2 linked regions of the Oryctolagus cuniculus genome follow. The protein of the gene in region 1 interacts with the protein of each later gene in a biochemical or structural test. Links are inferred from orthologs where the notes say so. Each region holds a gene or a part of one and is shown on either strand. Other genes may lie near its edges.

The links. The genes of interacting proteins can lie anywhere in the genome.
Region 2: the proteins of MAGI1 (region 1) and ADRB1 interact in a test that uses a peptide from one of them, tested with the Homo sapiens proteins (2 studies listed by IntAct). The link is inferred for Oryctolagus cuniculus from reciprocal best matches to the Homo sapiens genes MAGI1 and ADRB1.

What each region holds. Positions count from the first base shown.
Region 1 is NC_091441.1:84,208,458-84,212,104, reverse strand, and holds part of MAGI1 (membrane-associated guanylate kinase, WW and PDZ domain-containing protein 1), read right to left. Parts: intron 2,354-3,647; coding exon 2,150-2,353; intron 1-2,149. UniProt on the Homo sapiens protein: Plays a role in coupling actin fibers to cell junctions in endothelial cells, via its interaction with AMOTL2 and CDH5. May regulate acid-induced ASIC3 currents by modulating its expression at the cell surface.
Region 2 is NC_091446.1:16,246,882-16,250,628, forward strand, and holds the start of ADRB1 (beta-1 adrenergic receptor), read right to left. Parts: upstream 2,521-3,747; 5' UTR 2,258-2,520; intron 2,182-2,257; 5' UTR 1,994-2,181; intron 1,570-1,993; 5' UTR 1,488-1,569; coding exon 1-1,487. UniProt on the Homo sapiens protein: Beta-adrenergic receptors mediate the catecholamine-induced activation of adenylate cyclase through the action of G proteins. This receptor binds epinephrine and norepinephrine with approximately equal affinity.

The sequences.
Region 1 (3,647 bases):
AGTCCCTAATGCAGAGATCACCTCCCTCTCATCCTACAAGCAAACACATCCAACAAATCTTCAGAATGGAAGCGGATTCAGCAAGATTTTCCCTCCACCAATCTAACTCCTCTGCCTCGACTCCAATTTCCAAGATGGCAATTCTCAGCTCCTTTTAAAATATGTGCAACCCATGTCCACCCTTTGCCAGACCTGATTCCCTTTACCGGCCATCTGACAGTTATAAAGTGACTGGTGGAGAGTTTAATTTTCACAACAACCATCTCCTGAAAAAGTCTGAATGAGATCACAACCACAGCAGACCATGTGTTGCCTTAAAAAAAAAAAATCACTCCTTCACTTTATTACACCTACTTCATGTTCACTTTGTCCTAACCAAGGCAGCACACGAGATGCCTACCTGAATTTTATATTTTTAAGTACTAGAGGTTAAAAAAATATGCCCGTTTTCCAACTGGTGTTCAAGTTTTCATAAATATTTTCCATCATACCTGATTAAGTCAAATGTAATGTGTGTGTGTGCGCGTGTGCACGTGTGCGCGCACGAGCGCTTCAGTATAAGCTGCTTTTGCATATTCATGTCTCTCCCGATTTCAAGCTCCTGACTAGAACAGACCCAGTTCTTCTGACTTTGTTTTTGAAGTCTCTCCATGGCACATAGAAAAAATGTATCTAAATTTACAGAGTAAATGTGGCGCTCTCAACCAGTTCTTGCTTTATTTTTCTGATTTCCTTCATTTGTTCCATTAGGAATCTATAGTCTCTCATCTTGCAATTGCTTCTGTACAGGGTAATAACTTTCCGGAGTGGTGAGTTGGTGGAAGGGCCCCAGAACACACCATAAGTTCCTATCCACAACTTAGCAGGAGGAGGGAGAAGCAGACCACCATTCAAGAATATGCATTTTCCCTTCACCACCAGTGTGCTATTTTTGACAAAGTTTTTTGTTCTTGAAATCAACAACTTTCAAATATTTATTCTGAAAGTAAATTCCTGGAAAGTCCTGATTAGACCACTCAATTTTGAACTATAAGGCTCATTTTCTTAAAACTAATATACAAAATTATTCATTTGCTGAATAACTTTCACTGATCTTCTCCTTCTACAGATCCTCAGCATAGACTTTTTATCACAGTATCCATATAAACCACATTTTCCTCTTGAGGAAATCATACTTTGAGAATTTTATTTTATAATATCTATAGCAAGAATGAAAAAAAGTGAACACTTTGGGACGAGTATTACTTTTCTCCCGAGGACAAAGTCATCTTAATATGAAGGTCAACATTCAGGGCTTAATTCTTCAAGGAATCAATACTTATAGCTTCATTTTTATTAGATTTGAATAAGAGGATGAATATTGCTATTTTGTGCTGCATAACATTTCTATGGGAAAAGATGTGGTCTGACCAACTGGATGTTATTGGCACCCACTGCAGATGAAGCCAAATGTTCCCTGGGAGGTAGAATTCCACAAATGCAAAAGAACCCCAAGTCTGAATTAACCACTCAAGCAAAAGAGCACCTACCTGGATTAACAGACAAAATGTATTGAAAATATATATATTTAATTCTTTCTCTATACATTTGGAACAAATCAAGTAGGCATAAACCCTAAGACGCTCCTATTAAATACAAACTATTATAATTCATTCATTCAGAAAAAAGAAAAAAAAACATAATATTGGCTCTGCCTTGCCATTAACTAGGTTTTGTGATGTCATCATATTATATAGCTCAATTTTAGCTTATTGTTTAAAAAAATCCATATCTGATTTCTAGAGAGAACATCAAGTGATATTTCCTACCTGCACTGAAACTATTCTATTGAACATCAAAACCAAAATAAATGGGAGAGAGCTGAAGAATTTATGCAACTTTGGCATCCGCAGTAAGTAAGGGTCATGGGACTAGAGGATTAATTAAATAAGAAGGTGAGCTATAGTTTAGTAACAATGGTTCATGTTTGTTTGATGGGTATGTTTAGTGAGGAGTGGGTAGAGCTGCTTCTATGTCAACACTATCCAATTACATTAACACTAATGAGAGAGAGACCTGGAGAGACACACACACAAAGAGAAAGGGAAGAAGCGGGGGGGAGAGAGAGGGAGAGGGGGAGGGATAAAAGGTAGGCTTTAGTATACTTTACCATCCCCAGGAATGATGCGAAGGGTAACCGTGTTTCCTGCTTCCTTGATTAGGTTGACAATGTCTGAATGGGATTTGTTGGTGATGGAACATCCATTTACTGCCAAGATCCGGTCTCCTACTTTCAGCTTGCCACAGCGGTCAGCGGGGCTCCCCTCAATAATCCGACCTATTTTGTGAGGCATAGCCACACATGCATTGCCTGCTTTGATATCGAGTTTTAATTGTTTTTAAAGTTACGTGGGAATATAGTGAAGGGAGGAGAAAAAGGGTTGAAAAGGGAAAGAGAAGGTTAAGTGTTAATTAATTAAAGCATTAAGCAAATGTTATTCAAAGGAGAGCTCGGCGCCCATGGTCCGAACATTGGCGAACTCCTGGCTAATAAGGAGTGCGTCCCCGAAACCAGACATCACGGCTGCAGTCTTTCCTGATTCAACATGGACGGAAAACCCCAGCTTCTCTCTTCACAGCAATTACAAAATTTGGGAAATCTGGCAACTTCGGAAATTCTCTCAAGAGCCCCTAAATAACTCAGCGCCAGCTTATTTTGGGACTGCCAATGTGAAACCCAGAGGGAGGCTGGCTGCCTTCACTCATTGTGTGTTCCCATCACTTCATTTTTGCCAGCTGTTGTGCAAGCTTCTGCCAATGTTTAGTTCTTTTTCCCTTTAGAAAAACAATCCCTGGTTCTGTGGTGAGGCATGAGAGTCGGCTAGCACAGAAAATTCCATCTGCGAACACCTGATGGGCAAACACTGGCACTTGGTACCTTCTCTCCAAAGCTTTAGGCAAAGGGCATCATGACAACAGATGCACCAAGAGAACACCTAACGTTGAACCTCACTTTTCCTTTCAGGATCTTTGCTCAATCAGCCCATCCTGGGTGCTTCCAAGGTAGGGCTGGATTGGCTCTCATCACCTCTGAAATCTTGCTCCTGCCTCGCAAAGATAACCTTAAGGGAAGATGAAAATCAAGTACCTGATTCACAGTAAGGTTCGAATAATTCCCCAACCCTTTCCCTCTCATGATCGTCCTTTTCATCACCAGTTACCATATGCCCACATTAAGAAAAACCAGGAAAAGGGCATCTGAAGAGGAAGGCTGATTGTGTGAGCACTCTGAGGCACTCAATGCTATTGTTAACTTCTAGAGAGTGGTGGGCAACTGGCTCTGCAGCCTGGCGTTAAGTTTCTAGCTGACCATACACTGAGTTTGAAAGCTGTTCATGCAGGTTCACTTATTTTGAGAATTTGCCAATCTGGGGGACCATGAAATCAGTTACGCAGTTGAGCCACCTTTTGGAAAGGAAAATAAAATTAACATGGAAGACCTAGAATCTAAATAGGTTCTTCCACCTTGAGGGTAAGTCTAGACCTTGAGGGTAAGCTGTATAGGAAAATACACTTTAATTCCTTAGAATTTCTGCAAACTGGCCTGACTTTGCGTCACTGGATATGATGTCAAGGTCAAAGCATTTTTAAAAAGAAAACTTGGAATT
Region 2 (3,747 bases), on another chromosome or scaffold:
GCCGCCGCCGCCGCCCCACCATTGCAGCCTGCCCAGGGATCCAACAGGCGCGCGGGTGGCGTGGCCCCGACGTCGTCGTCCTCCTCGTCCGAGGCTGCCCCGGGCGACGGTGGCGGTCCGGCGCGCGCGAGGCAGCCCGAGGCGCGCGGCCGGGCGTGGGGGTTCGCATGGCACCCGCGGGCGGCCCGGCGCGCGCAGCAGAGCAGGCGCTGGAAGGCCTTGCGGAAGTCGGGGCTGCGGCAGTAGATGATGGGGTTGAAGGCCGAGTTGGCGTAGCCGAGCCAGTTGAAGAAGACGAAGAGGCGGTCGGGCACCAGGTCGCGGTGGAAGGCCTTCACCACGTTGGCCAGGAAGAACGGTAGCCAGCAGAGCGTGAACACGCCCATGATGATGCCCAGCGTCTTGAGCGCTTTCTGCTCGCGCAGGGCCACGAGGCGCGACGGCCGCCGCTTGCTGTGGCGCCCGTTGGCCAGCGCGGCCGCGGAGCCGGAGCCGGGGCTGGAGCCGGGGTCCGGGCGCGGGGGCCCTGGCTCGGGCGCGGGGCCGCTGAGGAAGCGGCGCTCACAGCTGTCGATCTTCTTCACCTGCTTCTGCGCCTCTCGGAACACCCGCAGGTACACGAAGGCCATGACGCACAGCGGCACGTAGAAGGAGACCACGGACGAGGCGATGGCGTACGCCCGGTTGGTGACAAAGTCGCAGCACTTGGGGTCGTTGTAGCAGCGGCGCGCCTCGTCGCCCTCGGCCCGCCACCAGTGCATGAGGATGGGCAGGAAGGACACGAGCGCCGAGATGGCCCACACGGTGCACACGAGGGCCCGCGCCCGCGCGCGCGTCAGCAGGCTCTGGTAGCGGAAGGGCGACGTGATGGCGAGGTAGCGGTCTAGGGCAATGACACACAGGGTCTCGATGCTGGCCGTCACACAGAGCACGTCCACCGAGGTCCAGAGCTCGCAGAAGAAGGAGCCATACTCCCAGCGGCCCCACACCACGATGGTGGCCCCGAAGGGCACCACCAGCAGCCCCATGACCAGGTCGGCGCTGGCCAGGGACATGATGAACAGGTTGGTGAGCGTCTGCAGCCGCGGTGTCTTCGCTATGGCCACGATCACCAGCACGTTGCCCGCCACGATGAGCAGCACCACGAGCGCCATAAGCAGGCCCATGCCAGCCGTCCACTGCTGCGACAGCAGCGCGGGGCCCTCGCTGGCGGGAGGCAACAGCGAGGCGGGCGGCGACGCGGGCACCAGCAGCCGCGCCGCCGTGGCCGCGCCGTCGGGCAGTGGCGCGGCGGACGACAGGTTGCAGGGCTCGGAGGCGCCCAGGGCGAGCGCCCCCGCGCTCATCCCGAGCTGCGGAGGCCGGGGGCGGGGGGTGTGGCGGAGCTGGGCCGTGGCTGGGGAGCCCTCCGAGAGGCCGTGCCGGCGGGGCGCGCTGTCGGAGGTCGCGGCCAGGTCAGGGCAGCTGCGGCGCGGAGCCCGAGGCATCGGCTCCGGGCGCCCTCCCCGCAGCCGCCGAGCGCTGTCGCCGCCGCCGCCGCCGCCGCTGCTGCTGGGGCCGCTGCCGCTGCTGGCAGAGCCGCCGGGACCTCAGCATGTTTCTGAGCGCGCGGGGCCCGCGGCCCCGGCACCCAGCACCCACCCCCCGTTCCCACCTCCCGAGCCGGCCCCCGGGGCCTGGCGTCAGGCTCCTGCAGCCAATCGGGGCGAGGGCACGCCCCCTTCTCTGCCTCCCCACTCCCTGCTACCCCGACTCCCCGCACCCCCTCCTACCGGCGATTGAGCGGCTCGGGGGAGTCGGGGCAGAGCGTCCAGCCAGCGCCTCTCGGGCGCCCGCGGGTTCCGCCGAGCGCTCCCTTTCCTGCGCCCGCCCGCTCCAGCGCCCCGTTCCCCTGCGCCGCCTAGGGCGCCCGGCTCCCGGCCGCGTCCCCGCCCCCTCCCGCGCTCGGCTCCCTCCCGCTGCCCCGCTCTGCCCACCCCCGCATCCCCTCTACCTCCGTTGTCCGGATTCCCCGCAGCACTGGGCGCCGGCTCCCTTAGGGGGCGGCGAACGTTGACATCCTCACGGCTCCTGGGCGCCTCGAGCGGTCTTGTCCGCCAGGGTTGGAGGAGATTGGTTCTTGGGTGTGTAGAGTCCTTCCTCCGCCAAGGGGGCACCGGGCCAACCTGCGTCGCGCCAGCCCTGCGAGATCGGAGGTGGGTGTTAGCAGGGAGAGGAAACTTGGCAGCACAGCGCGTTGCGGGAGCAAACCGCGCACCTGTCTCTGCGCGGGTGCGGCGCTTGCGAGGAAGCGTCTGTTGTACTTCGGGTGCAGGAGATGTAGCAGGGGCGAAGGCTGCTGCATCCAGCAGCCAACGCGGAGGCTGAGCTGGAAAAACACACACTTCCTAGCCCCTGCGCGTGATGCAACAGTGTGTGTCCACGCCGTGAGGGGAGAGGCTAGGGAAACACGCATGTTAACGCGCACGCAGACAGACCACCTCCACTGACGCTTTAGGCTTCCCACATTCAGTCACAACACCTGCATTTTGTGAGTTATTGCACGCAGGTTTTTATACTCAGGGCAGTGTGGATTGCAGACTCTGAGGCACTGACAGTTTTGGTTGAAGCAATGAACTGGGATTTTGGATTTTTTGGTCTGGGTGGCGGTTTGTTCCTTTACCCAAGTTCCCAGATTCTTGCAACTCTGGGGTTAGTTTTGAAGGGATGAGAGAGAGAGAGAAAAAAACCATAAATCCTCAAGGGGATTAAAACCCCAAAGCATTTAAAGTTATACCAGTGGTTTCTGAGTTGGCAAATGGGTTCATTTAAGGGTTAGAGGGTTGTTAACCTAGTTGTAGGTGGATTATATGGAGGAGAGGGGGAATGGTGGGGCCAGGAGCACACAGGGCAGAGGGAAGCAAGCCCTTTCTCTAATTTGGCCCTGGTAAGGAACTTAGCTCAGGCCTGAAAATAAACAAAAAACCTTTAATTAGATCCTTGTGAAGTAAACAGCTCCCGATCATCATGAACGTGTTATATAACGCTCACACATCTTTACGGCGTTAGAATAAAAAGAACAGCATCTAGAAAGAGCATCCACCACGGCCCAAAACCGTGCTCCTACCTTGCCAGAGAGAGGCGAACAAAAAGGAATGCTTGTTACGTGTGCAGACGTCAGACCGTTTGCACCAGCTTCTTGAGACTAGAGAAATGCAAACACATGAATTTGCTTTAGGCCTAAGCATGATCATCGAAGCATTCCTACAACCCGGGAGTGATTAATTTGTTTATTCACCCCTGCCCTGGACTCAGCCCAGTTTTGCCAACTTGGGGAGGTTGATGTGGGGGAGTCAGGAAGAGAGGAGCTGGAAAGAGGGAGGAAGGAGACCGGGCCCTTAGTGACTCCACTCCTTGCAAGTCCTCCCTTTGGCCCGGTGAGAGGGGGAGCTAAGGGGTGGTATTAAAATAGCCAAGGGATTGGGTGGAGTGGAAATTGATGCTGCCCAGGAAAGGGCTCTGAGTGCTGGGTGGGGTGCAGGGAGTGTGGGGAAAGCTGCTGTCTACCCGGCGCAATCCTCCTGCCAAGTGCTGCTACTGGAATAGAGTGTGTCAACCTCAAGTGCCCGCACAGGGCCAGGGCGCAGGGCGCAACACGGCGAGAAGGCCTGACTGTGGGTGCAGGGGCTGGCGCAGAAGCCGGGTGCAGGTGACTTCACTGTGTGGTTACTTGCACGAACGTCCTGGGCATCAGCATGGCCGGAAACC